2 linked regions of the Rattus norvegicus genome follow. The protein of the gene in region 2 interacts with the protein of the main gene of each other region in a pairwise test. Links are inferred from orthologs where the notes say so. Each region holds a gene or a part of one and is shown on either strand. Other genes may lie near its edges.

Evidence for each region. The genes of interacting proteins can lie anywhere in the genome.
Region 1: the proteins of Disc1 (region 2) and Clu interact in binary tests that used the Homo sapiens proteins (3 or more experiments, as listed by UniProt). The link is inferred for Rattus norvegicus from reciprocal best matches to the Homo sapiens genes DISC1 and CLU.

The regions. Positions count from the first base shown.
Region 1 is NC_086033.1:44,333,822-44,340,196, forward strand, and holds the start of Clu (clusterin precursor), read left to right. Parts: upstream 1-2,797; 5' UTR 2,798-2,850; intron 2,851-6,375.
Region 2 is NC_086037.1:69,987,027-69,992,601, forward strand, and holds part of Disc1 (disrupted in schizophrenia 1 homolog), read left to right. Parts: intron 1-1,424; coding exon 1,425-1,660; intron 1,661-5,575. UniProt on the Homo sapiens protein: Involved in the regulation of multiple aspects of embryonic and adult neurogenesis. Required for neural progenitor proliferation in the ventrical/subventrical zone during embryonic brain development and in the adult dentate gyrus of the hippocampus.

The DNA of each region.
Region 1 (6,375 bases), on a different chromosome or scaffold from region 2:
GATTGTAGGAGGCAGAGGGGTCAAGGACACCACAAAAAAATCCACAGAACCAACCAACCTGAGTCCATCGAGGCCCACAAAGACTGAACCACCAACCAGGGAGTCTGCACGGGACTGACATAGGTCCTCCACTCACATATAGTAGAAGTTTGGTCTTCCTATCAGCAGGAGCAGGGGCTGTCTCTTACTTTGTTGACCTGCCTTTGGGACCCTTCCTCCTTCTGGGTTGTCTTGTCTAATCTTAATAGAAGACAATACACCTAGACTTACTGATAGGCCACAGATAGTTGATATCTGTGGGAGGCCTGCCCTTTGCTGAAGAGAAGAGGAGGAGGAGTGAATGGGGAGGGGGAGGTAGGAGGAGAGACAGGGAGCAGAGGAGGGAGGGGAAATGGCAGTTGGACTGTAAATTAATTAATTAGTTAACTAATTTAAAAAATAAAGAGGCAGAGCAAGCCATTGAGCCCACTAGGACTTACTTTGCTCTGGGAAATGGGGATAAAGTCAAGGACAGAACCTCAACTCCTTAGGAGAAGCATCTTTGACCCTTTTAGTTCGGATGTCAATAGAGAGACACTCAGGAAGAACAGAGCATGCCCCAGTGTGACTGTGGGCTTCTCAAGAGAAAGCTGCTTATGTGTCTTAACACCAGCCATATATATATATATATATATATATATATATATATATATATATATATATATATATATATATATATATGCACCATTAAGCTATTTTATTTATTTATTTATTTTTCGGAGCTGAGGACTGAACCCAGGGCCTTGAGCTTGCTAGGCAAGCGCTCTACCACTGAGCTAAATCCCCAACCCCTTTATTTTGTTTTTAATTATGTGTATGTGTGTGCAACTGTATGAGGTATGTGTATGTGGTTGCAATGTCCACAGAGGCCAGAGGAGGGCCTGGACCATAAGGATATTTTAATAAGATAATTGGCAAGTTATCCGCAAAGAAGGATATTAAAATCATACTTTTAACTGCATGGCATATATTGATTTGCTGGCATACCCCAGTGAGGCTCATTATAAAGACAAACGTATTTATGAGTTTAACTCAAATTACCCCCATATTTTATCTTGTATTCTAAAACATTGTTGGTGAAACGCTTGTGGAGGAACATTGGCCCTAAGGACTAAAAAAGTACTTACCATGTATGAGAGCCTGGTTCTATCCCTAACACACACACACACATACACACACACACATACACACACACACACACTTATACACACACATACACACACACATACACACACACTCACATATATTCTTTCTCTCTTTTTCTCTCTCTCACACACACACATACATTCTCATACACACACACACACTCACATATATTCTTTCTCTCTTTTTCTCTCTCTCTCTCACATACACACATACATACTCATACACACACACACACACACTCATACACACACACACACACACACACACACACACACACACACACACACACACACACAGGAGACCCTACCTGGAGTCTGGAGATGTCGAGTTGTTCTCTGGTCAGCTCTCAGCCAAATGGCCCTTTTCCCTTAGCCTTTTGTTCCTCTCCTTCCTTATTTTCAGAGGAACCAGCTGAGATACAAGTTAGAATCTTTCCTGACAGGTATAATCAGGCACCAACCAGTCAGAGTGAGTGTCATGACCAATCGGAAAGGTCTTGGACTGTCCCTAGTGAGACACAGTGACAGACAGTAGTCCTGAGGAAGGACAGGTGTGGTCCCGGCATTGCTGTGGGAGCAGTGACCTAGTTGTCCCTTGGGACTCACAGTCACTTGTTCCCATCATTGTACACACTGCAGACTCCATGCTCAGGATATTGCCACTTGGCCCTATATTTGTGTCCCCTCTGGCTTGAGTTCCCAGTTTAATGCCACCTCTGTTTCCTTCTCCCTGTCCTCCTCCTCTTGTTCCTCCTCCAAGAATTCCTCTTTGTTGGGGCTTGTTTTGCTTGGTCCCTGGAAATCTCTTTTTTCTTTCAACTCCACCTATGCATTTGGTCAGATGTTTGTTTTTTACCTTTTACCTAAAAATTTAAAGCCCCAAAACGTGCTGGAAGCAGCCAGTCCTCTCTGTTTTCTTGATTTCATTTTTGAAATGTGGCCGAAGTGTTGGGTCTGGCCTCAAGGCAATCATTTTGACAATCATATAAATTTTACAGTCTAAAGTATCAGTTTTATGGTCAAATAGACTGAGGGCCAAAGACATTTAAGAATGTTACTAACGGTACACACAATACAAGTGGAGAAGCCAAGATTTGCACTCAAAAAAATCTTCTCTCCTTGGCTTGTGTACTACCACTAGGAGGGAGGAACAGAAATCCTTCACAGTTCTAAGAGCTATTTCTCCTGCAACTACAAGACCAGGGGAGAAGGAGAAGGGACAATAACTTGACTGAGCAGGCAGAACGTCAGGGTTGTGACAATGACCAACAGCCCTCTAGGGTTTTGTACACCATTGATTCCTTAACCTCATGTTCCAAATGTTGCTTTGTGTCTTCTGTGATCAACTGGGAAGATGAGATGCAGTGTGGATTTGACGGTCAATGTTCAACGCCAACTTAGCAGAATCTACAGTCACCTGGGAATGGGTTTCTGGCCATGCCTAGGGAGCAGTATCTCGAGTAGAATTACCCAAGGTGGGAAGACCTGTCTGTGGTGGGTGGCAGCATTCCATGGCTGGGATTCTGGAGTGTGTATGTGGAGAAAAGGAGATGAGCAGCAGCAAGCATGCATTACTGTCTGTTTCCTGATTGCAGATGGGCATGGCCCGCTGGCTCAAGCTCACACTGGCTGGACTTCCTCGCCATGACAGTCTGTACCTCTAACTGTGAGTCAAAAGACTTTCTCCCTGAAGTTGCTTTTGTTAGTATTTATCATAGCAACAGGAAAAGAAACAAAGATGGTGGGCAAGAACACTTGAGAAGCAGTGGCAACCTTGAGTGGGCGCATCAGGGAAGGAACTGAGGAGGATTCTCGCAACTCCCATACAGCCCCTCTGCTTAGCTCCAAGGTCTGTCACAATTCAACCAACACTGGAGTAAGGCCCTTGCTGCATGTTCTCCAGGGTCATGGATTCATCTCTGTGGAATTTGACAGCCAGCTCTCATGCTCAGAGGGCAGGGGCAGGCACCGTGTCTAGCACAGTGGCTGGCTCGGGGAAGAGTGCCTTGAAACCTTTGCCTGAGTTTTCATTATGCTTTCTGCTAAGTGGTCCTATAGCTACACTGGAACATGTCTGAGTGCCTTATGGCCCCAGGATTCAGAGTCCCACCTCCAGGGGAAGTCTGAGTTGAGAGAGGCTGAAGATGAGAACATATTAGGGCTTAAAAGTGCTCCTATCTCTCCTGTCCTGATGGATCCCTAAAAGTAGCCTGAAAAGGAGATGGTATAAGAAATTAGAGAAGTTAAGTCTCTGGATTTGACAGATGGATGGGGAAATGGGGCGCGCGCGCGCGTGTGTGTGTGTGTCTGTCTGTCTGTCTGTCTGCCTGCCTGCCTGCCTGCCTGCTGGTAAGCACTGTAAAGAAGAACTAGTGGGAGAGGGAGACAGGGAGCAGCTGGGTGGTGTGTGAGGTGCAGCCCATCTTGTTACATGTATATCAACCTTTGCAGCCCTGCTTTGCCATTCAGTCTGGGATCCCTCGGTCAATCTGCCAGCTGTTTACAAGGACTGCTTTGCCCAGGCACTTTATAGGGTGATGATCTCTTTCCCAAAAGCTTCAGGCTGGGTGGACTAGAATTCTCTGGACCGTTCTGTGCTTGTCTAAACGGAAACTTCAGCATCTATCTAGGAAGGCCCACCCCCAAGAACTCTGCAGAACACTGCATGATAGGGGGGCTCTGGTCTTCAGGCTTCATTTGAGCCCCTCAGAGAGATATCCCTTCCTTCCTGTCCTTGCTCCTCATTCCTCACCACTCTTTAGTGGCGCTTCTTGGCCTTCCCTTGGGACAGGGCCTCCTCCCTGTTTTGGCTCCAAAGGCAATTTCATCACTTCACTGTTTATAGCCTTTGCAAGGAATCTGGGATGATTTAAATGAAGCCTGGCTGACACCAGCCTTCAGCAAACACCCCTCCCATAGCAGCTTCGCCACACCCTTACTCCCCTGGTGAGAGCCCCTTAAATTGCTTGCCATTAACAAAGGGAGCCAATAGGGACCACCACTTTCCAGAGCTGTGAGAATTGGCCCACGGAGGGGAAGGACAGCTGCCTGCCCATAGTCCAGTCCTCTCTCGACCAATGCTTCCTGAGTGTTGGCCCTTTTCCTGGTGATGACATCTCATTTCTGTAACTCATAGTCCTCTCCAGTCCCCAAGGAGGGTTTCTCCTTTTCCTAATCCCCTGACTTCCTGCTGTCCGGCCTAGAGTCCTGCCCTTGGGGACTCTGATTGGCCTATATCTGGAACTCTTCGGCGGCTTGCCACATTAGCCTCTCTCACTTTAATGAGAACATAATCCAAAGCATTTGTGGGGCTCCCTCAAGCCAAGCTGTTTATGTGTCATTGAGCTTGGTTCTGGTTGGAGACCAGATGAACATACAGACAGTGAGTAAAGCTGGGAGAGAGTTAAGGCTGGTGAGAAGATGAATGGGGATTAGGTGGGAGCCAGGGCACAGCCCTGGTGCTGAGCCAGACATGCTCCCCTTCCGCAGGGGAAGCTCTCCTTCGTCTCCCCATTTTCCCGCCTTCTGGGGCATGCTGACTCAGTGTTGCAGATATAGCTCTCCGAAGAGGGCTTACGAGTCAGAGTCACTGCTATCCCATTACAAAGACCAAAGGATAGTAGTAATGACTTCTTAGTGTCCAGGGGTCCAGAGCTAGACCCCAGCACACATGGGCCATCCACAGAATCACCAGGAGAACTGGGATAGGACCCTTCTACCCAGGCCTGCCATCTGTTTACCCATCAGAACTCCCTGCAGGGTGTCACCTCCTTCAGGTCAGTCCCCATTCCCCATTCCCCTAGGCTCCTGTCAGCCCAGGGCATATGCTGTAGTGGGTGACAGTAAAGGTAGCTTGTGGGCTTTTGGTGAAGACCTGAATGTTTCCTGTTGTTTTAACCACGAGCTCGTTTTAATTTAAAAACAAATGAAGGGTAATCATTTAAAATATGGTTTCAATCTATTTTATTCTTGGTATTCTCTATGGCCAAGGGAGTGTTGACACATGGGGTTTGCAGGAGCTCAAGGCAGCAGAGACATATTAGGGGTGAGGGTGGGACATGAGGCTTAAACTGCCAGGAAATGGAAGACCGGGAGGAGGGCGGAGGGAGGCAGCAGAGTCCAGGTGAGGCTTCCGTCCCTTTCACATTCTTTTCTTTAAACGGAAAGGATTCCTGTTTGGGTGGAGTGGCAGGGGTGGGGACATGAATATATGTGACATTTAGGACTTTGGATTTGCCCAAAGTTAGGGTGACCTCAATGCAAAATGTAAAAGTTGTTGGGCATCTGGAAGAGCAAGGAGAACCTTTTCTCACGGGATGGAGACATCTGGAGCAGGCTAAGCTTCTAGGAAGGAGTAGCTTCTCTACAGGTCTGTGTGTGCTTTCTTTCCCCTCTTGCTGCTTTCAGCATCTGGAGTTGGTGGGGCTGGGCTTGGAAGAGGGCACAGGATCAGACGGAACATGTCCAGACCTAAATTTTTCATGAAGCCCCTCTGAGGGACACCTAGGACAGTTAGGTGCTCTGGGAATCATGAAGGGGCAAGCATCCAAGGCTCTAGGACCCAGTCACTGCCTCCCTTGTCCGAAGGCCATAGGGATCTGAGCTGAGACCATGGAGTGCTCTTAGCTAGAGGAGACTAGCCAGGTGCTACTCTTCATGTGGCCCACATTGCTGGCCACATGCTTGGGAAAAAAAGGAAAACAAAAAACATCAAACAGGCTTTAAAGGCCAGCATTGCATGCCAGCTCCAAAACGTAACAGCAAACACTGCAGGTTGAAAGGGCCTCTGTTCAGCTGGTACCTGACCGTGTAATCTCCAACTTAGGTGTCAGACGGAAAGCCAGAGAGGAGGGGGTTCCTTGTTTTTAAGCTTTTGCTTGCAAGAGCCAGGTAGAACATTGGATTGGTAGGTGCATGTCTTGGCACCTGGTTGCAATAGCTGCTGACTTTCTTGGGGTTGAGCCTGGGTCAACCTTTCCTTCTGAGGGTAGAAAACAACTTTGTTAACCATCTGCTAACCCAGCCACCACCATTGACCAGGAAATGTGTGATTGAGTCATCTTCCGTTGTTCACTCCTCCTCCTCCTCTTCTTCCTCATCCTTTTCTTCCTCCTCCTCCTCTTCTTCCTCCTCCTCTTCCTCCTCCTCTTCTTCCTGAGACTGTATTCTTCGACAGGAGTCAGGAGGGGGT
Region 2 (5,575 bases):
GTTTAGGGCAGCTTGAGCTTGTCTTCCCAGGATGGGGAGGCTGAGGCAAAAGAATTGTTGTAGGTTCAAGCCTGGGCTACAAGATGAGTAAGGGCTAGTCCCAGCTACCAAGTAAAATGCTGTCTCCAAGAAACAAAAACAAAACATACAAAAAATGAGGGAGGGGGGATAGTGTGGATCTCCAGGGCAAACACAGAGCCGCTGAGCCTTGTTGAGCACACAGAGCCTGTGGGTTAGCAGGAAGTTCAGGGTGGGGGCGTTAGAGCTCATCTCTCTCTTCTCTGGGACTGCAGGTGGGTGCAGGAGGTAGACGCTGTGGAGAATCTGCTCCGTGGGTGGAGAGAACATTCAGGAGATAGGGAGATATCAGGGATTAAGCGGTGCTCTTATCAGCTAGGAACAGCGAGGGAACAGGGGCGTGTCCCTCAGCGGAGTCTGGTGCTGTGTTCAGACTCCTACGCAGAGAGATGGCTATCTGCCCAGCCCTGAGCACACGCTGTTCCGTCACCTGCTGCTTGTTTAGTCGTTGGCCTGGAGACAGATAATAGCTATGGATTAACGGAGATTCTGGGTCAATCAATTAGTGCAAATTACATGTGTGTGCGTGCGTGCATGCTCGAGAGTGCATTCGTGAGTGCCCGTGTGTGCACATGTGTGTGAGTGCGTGTGTTTGAATGTGGGCACACGTGCACGTGTGTGCGTGTGTATGTGGAGGACATCAGTTGATGTTAGATACTTAGCCCAGACTCCCACAGAGTCTCTCACTGAATCTAGTTTTCACTGACTGGGCTAGAGTGGCTTGGTCAGCAAGTCCCCAGGCTCCTCCTGTCTCTGCTCCCCACCCCCACCCCCATCCTGGGGTTACGGATTCATTCTGTGGGACCCCAGCTTTGCCATGGGTTCTGGGGAATCAGAAGTAGCTCTTCATGCGTGCCCGGCAAGCACTTATCTGACAGAGTCACCTCGGTGAGCCTTGGAATTTAACTGTCCGACATCGTCGGTGTGGCAAGCCTTTCTGTGCATCCTAAATTCTCGTGTTTGGGGACAGGGTTTTCTCCTCCTGGCTCACACACAGCTGGTGTCTCAGTGTGGGGTGTGAGCTGCTAGCACCCTTCATTTGCCCACCAGAAGGGAAGCCAGCCATACAGCATTCACTGGGTTTTATCAAATCAAAACCTTGGCCCGCACCTGTCCATATTTAATGCTTGGGAGGAAGGGAATGTTTTTCTTCTTGCCAGCTCATCAGAAACCTAAAGCTGGCATGATTTTTCCAGTTCAGCAAACTTCTGGAATTCGCTTGCCTCAGAAGGTGGGGTAGGTGGGCTTTGAGTCTCCGGGCGCATATGGCCCCCAATCACTTAGCTTGCTCTCACTGTCAGCAGAGCAGGGTTAATGGCTGAAATCTGTTGCCCCTTTCTCTGCAGAAGGAAATCGAAGCTCTCCGGGCAAGGGTGTCTGTGCTGGAGGCGAAGGAACAACGGCTGAGCCAAGAGTTGGAGGATCAGGAGATGCTGCTCCGGTGGCAGGGCTGTGACCAGATGGCACTGGTGGCACAGCTGTCCCCAGGCCAGCTGCAGGAGGTCAGCAAGGCCTTGGGAGAGACTCTGACCTCTGCCAGATGGGCTCCCTTCCGCGTGGAGCCACCCGAAACCCTCAGGAGGTACTGGTGACTTTCTGAGTTTCCAACTTTACTTCTCTCACCCGTTTATCATCGAGATGACTTTATTGTCCCTTGTCCACAGGCGCTCCTCAGTCAGGTTGTTGGCTGAGTGGAAGGGGTGGAGATGTTCTGATGTTAGATTGCCTGCGGGGTCAGTCATGAGTGCTGGGAGGTATTTGGTGTTCAGTCCACCTAATCTGTATCAGCAATGTCCCCTTCTCCAAGAAGCAGTTTCCAACACTCTGAGGGGCTGGCTTGTCTCTCCTTCCTTGTCTCCCTCCCTCCTTCCCTCCCTTCCTCTCTCCCTCCTTCCTCCCCTCCCCCCTCCCCTCCCACTCCATATTTCCTTCTCCTCTCTCTCCCTTCCTCCCCGCTCCCTCCTCCCTTCCCTCCCTCTCCCTTCCCTCTCCCCTCTCTTCTCCCTTCTCTCCTCCATTTCTTCCTTCCTCCTCTTCTTCATCCCTTCCTCTCCCCTCCCTCCTCCCTTCCTCTCTCCCTCCCTCCTTCCTCCCTTCCTATATTCCCCTTCCTCTCCCCCCTCCTCCCCTCCCTCCTCCCTTTCCTCCCTTCTACATCTGGGATTCAATTAGATAGAGATAGTGACACCGGCCTTTGCTGGAGGTAATCATCTGGAGAGGGACAGATTCCACTTCTACTCAAGGGATAGGGCATGGCATTGAAAGACTGTGCCCTGGGCTACAGTGATGCTTGGCTACAGTTTTAGTGCACAAGCATGGGGGCCTGGGTGTGGATCCCCAGAACTCGTGTAGAAATCTGGGTGCAGCGGTACATAGCTTTAACCTCATTTCTGGGGCCTCAGACTCAGGAGGATCCCTAAGGTTTGCCGGCCAGCCAGCTTAGCTCCAGGTTCAGTGACCCTGTGAGTGTGATAGAGGAAGACGCCCCATCTCCTTCTCTCTCTCTCTCTCTCTCTCTCTCTCTCTCTCTCTCTCTCTGTCCCTCTCTCTTTCGTCCGTCTCTGGCTCGTATGTGTGTGTGTGTACATGCACAACCAATAAAAGACCCCCCCCCAGACAGACAGACAAACAAAGGACAGCTGAACCAGTGTTTTCGTAGGCACTGGGATGAATGGGACGAGCGACCCTGTGCTGCTGGTTGTGGCAATCACCATGTGCCTGGTGCTAGACCGGCCGTCGCTTTGTGGGTCGCATCTATTTTCCTGCCTGTTCTCCAGACAGGGAATAGAAGACGAAGAAAGCTAACAATCAGAAGAGAAGTTTTTAATTTGCCCAGTGTCTTAATAGGAGAGAGAAACATGCCCAGGATTTTCAACCCTGGCACACCACAAAGTGAGTCTTTCCTATGCTTTGAATCATGGAGGGCTTGGGAGATACACCACATACACATCTACTAGGTTGTTACTTATTGATCAATTGATTCTTTTGAATAGGGTTTCACTATGTTGTTCAGGCTCCTCCGATCTTCCTATTGCTCTCCAGGCACTCAGATCTCATTTTGGAGACACGGGGAACACTCTTACATATGCAGGAAGAAGTGCTTGTGGAGGGCAGGGAAGATGTCCAGTGGGGGTTCAGGGCTCTGCTGGGTCACTACCCTCCTGCCTGTGGGGATATACATTTTATGACTCCTGGATGAATTGGGAGACTGACAATAGAACCATTTAGGGATACTGGTCAGTCTCTGCTAGCCTCAAACTTGTGGCAGTCCTCCTGTTTCCGCCTCATGAGTTCTGGGATTCATCACTACACCTGGCTACTTCAGCCTGGCAACTTTTATCACTCACAGACTTGACAACATCAATGGAGGCCATCTGTAGACTTGAGGCCCTTTCTGGCCTCAAGCAAGTGAACCATGCCAGAACTTACCCAGGAGCTTGCTAAGAACAGGGTTATCCCAGCATGCTACTCAGGGAGCCTATGCTGGCTTGAAGCTGAGCAAGGCCTGATGGGCATCTAGTGCTCTAAAAAAATATTCTCTGAGAAATTCAGAATGCACAGGATGTATTTTGATCATAACTGCTTCTCACCTGTCCCCTCCGAGTCCTCCCAGATCTCTCTCAGTGTCTTCTTCCAAGTTGTCCAACACTTCATGTCCTTAAAAACAAAACAAAACAAAGCCCCAAGTCCCCTGAGTTGTCTGTTTATGTGTGGGTGTACGGTCATGCTCAGGAGCAGGCAACCTAAGGCAGAAGTCACCCCCAAACAAACCATCTCTCCTCTGGCACCCATCAACTGCAGGAGGTCAAAGGAGACAACTTTTAAATACCAGGAGGGTCAAGATGTCCCACGCCAGGAAGCTGACAGGACAGAGAAACACAGAAATCACATAAAATGTCAGACTCGTTACAGAGAATTGGTGACAAACAATGTTGAGGCTGTAGAGAAAACAGATCCCTCATTCACCGTTGGCGGAAGGGCGGGCTGGTGCAGCCACTGTGGACATCAGTGTGGAGGCTTCTCAAGAAACTAAATATGGAAAGCCCAAACAACCCAGCAATATTTCCTTCCAGGCATCGACCCAAGAGGCTGCTCCCTACCGCAGGGATTCACATCCATGGTCATTGTGGCTCTGTCGGGTAATGGGCTGGTGGCACACCAATAATGGGCTTTTATTTGGCTGTGAAGAAGAAAATGAAATTTCGGAATGTAGAGGGAAACGGAAGGAACTGGAAAACGCTATGTTAACTGATGCCCCAGAAAGACAAGTACCTCGTGTCCTCTTGTACGTGGATCCTAGCATCTGATTTCCACATATGTGTATTTATGTGGGAGTGAGGTCATAGGCCAGGAAACTGAGAAGGGGCTTTGAGGCAGGGGTATGGAGAGGGCAAGAAAATGTGTGTGACGCAGGAAAGGCAATTGTCTTAGGGCGGTAGATTTGTTAAATACAGGTGGCAGCAGCGAGGCAGAGGCTTGGAGGAGAATTTGGGCCCTTGTGGCAGCTTGCGTCCACCTGTGGGTCTCCGAGGAAGGTGGCTCATCATACAGTTGATTAGCAGTCTACAGCTCAGACCTGCAGCCAGGCTGAGGTTAATTCCTGAGCGGCAGTGGGAGGGGAGGGGTCCTGCTTCCCAAGGAAGGAATGAGTGAGCTGGCTGAGAAGGGGTGGGTGAGGCCCAGGATTATATTCAGTTAAGGTACCATTACAGGCTGGGTACGTGCTGCCTTTAGCTTTCTGGTATCTTGGAGTCTGGGAACCCAGCCCTGTAGGCTTTCTTGGGGGAATTGAGAATTATAGCGCTTGTCATTCTCCAGGAACCGGGGCACTTGGGGAGTCTCTTACAGGGAGGAGGGGGCTGCAGCTTTAATGGCTCTTGGTGGGGGCTCCCCATTTCCTTCAGAGCGGCCATGTAAAGGAGGCTTCTGGGCCTGAACGGGCACTAGCCCAGACTGACTATAGTGGAAAGGGGAGTGGGAGGGAGGGAGGGTTCTAGCAGTGGGGGTGGGGGTAGCATTGAGAGTCTTCCTGGAATTGTTAAGAGTCAGAACATGGGTCTTGGCTAACAGACTAAGCCCTCAGTAGGGCAGTTATAGAGACAAGTAATCATGGAAGCAGAGGTGGTTTTATTCAGTGTGACCCCTTGAAAGAACAGTGAGGGACAGTGACCCCTGAATCCATCGTGAGCTCTTAACAGAAGGTTTAGTCTTCTAGAGGGCACGGCTGTGCATGGCTAAGCAGTGCTGGTCAAGTGTGGGCCTGCCCATCACTGACCTTCCTCTCCGCTCCAGTCTGCCCTGCACAGTAGTCTGTCACATTGTCAGAACCATGTGACATCTCTCTACGGGACAAGTTCCCTCTGGGTGGCTCCAGTCTTCTTCTCTCAGCGTGAGACTCCTGAGAGCCAAAATCTGATGGCCAAAGGAAGGGACCCTCGTGCCTCTTTGGAGATGTCTTCATTCCTGCTGGTGTTTACCAGGAGGGGGAATTGTGAGG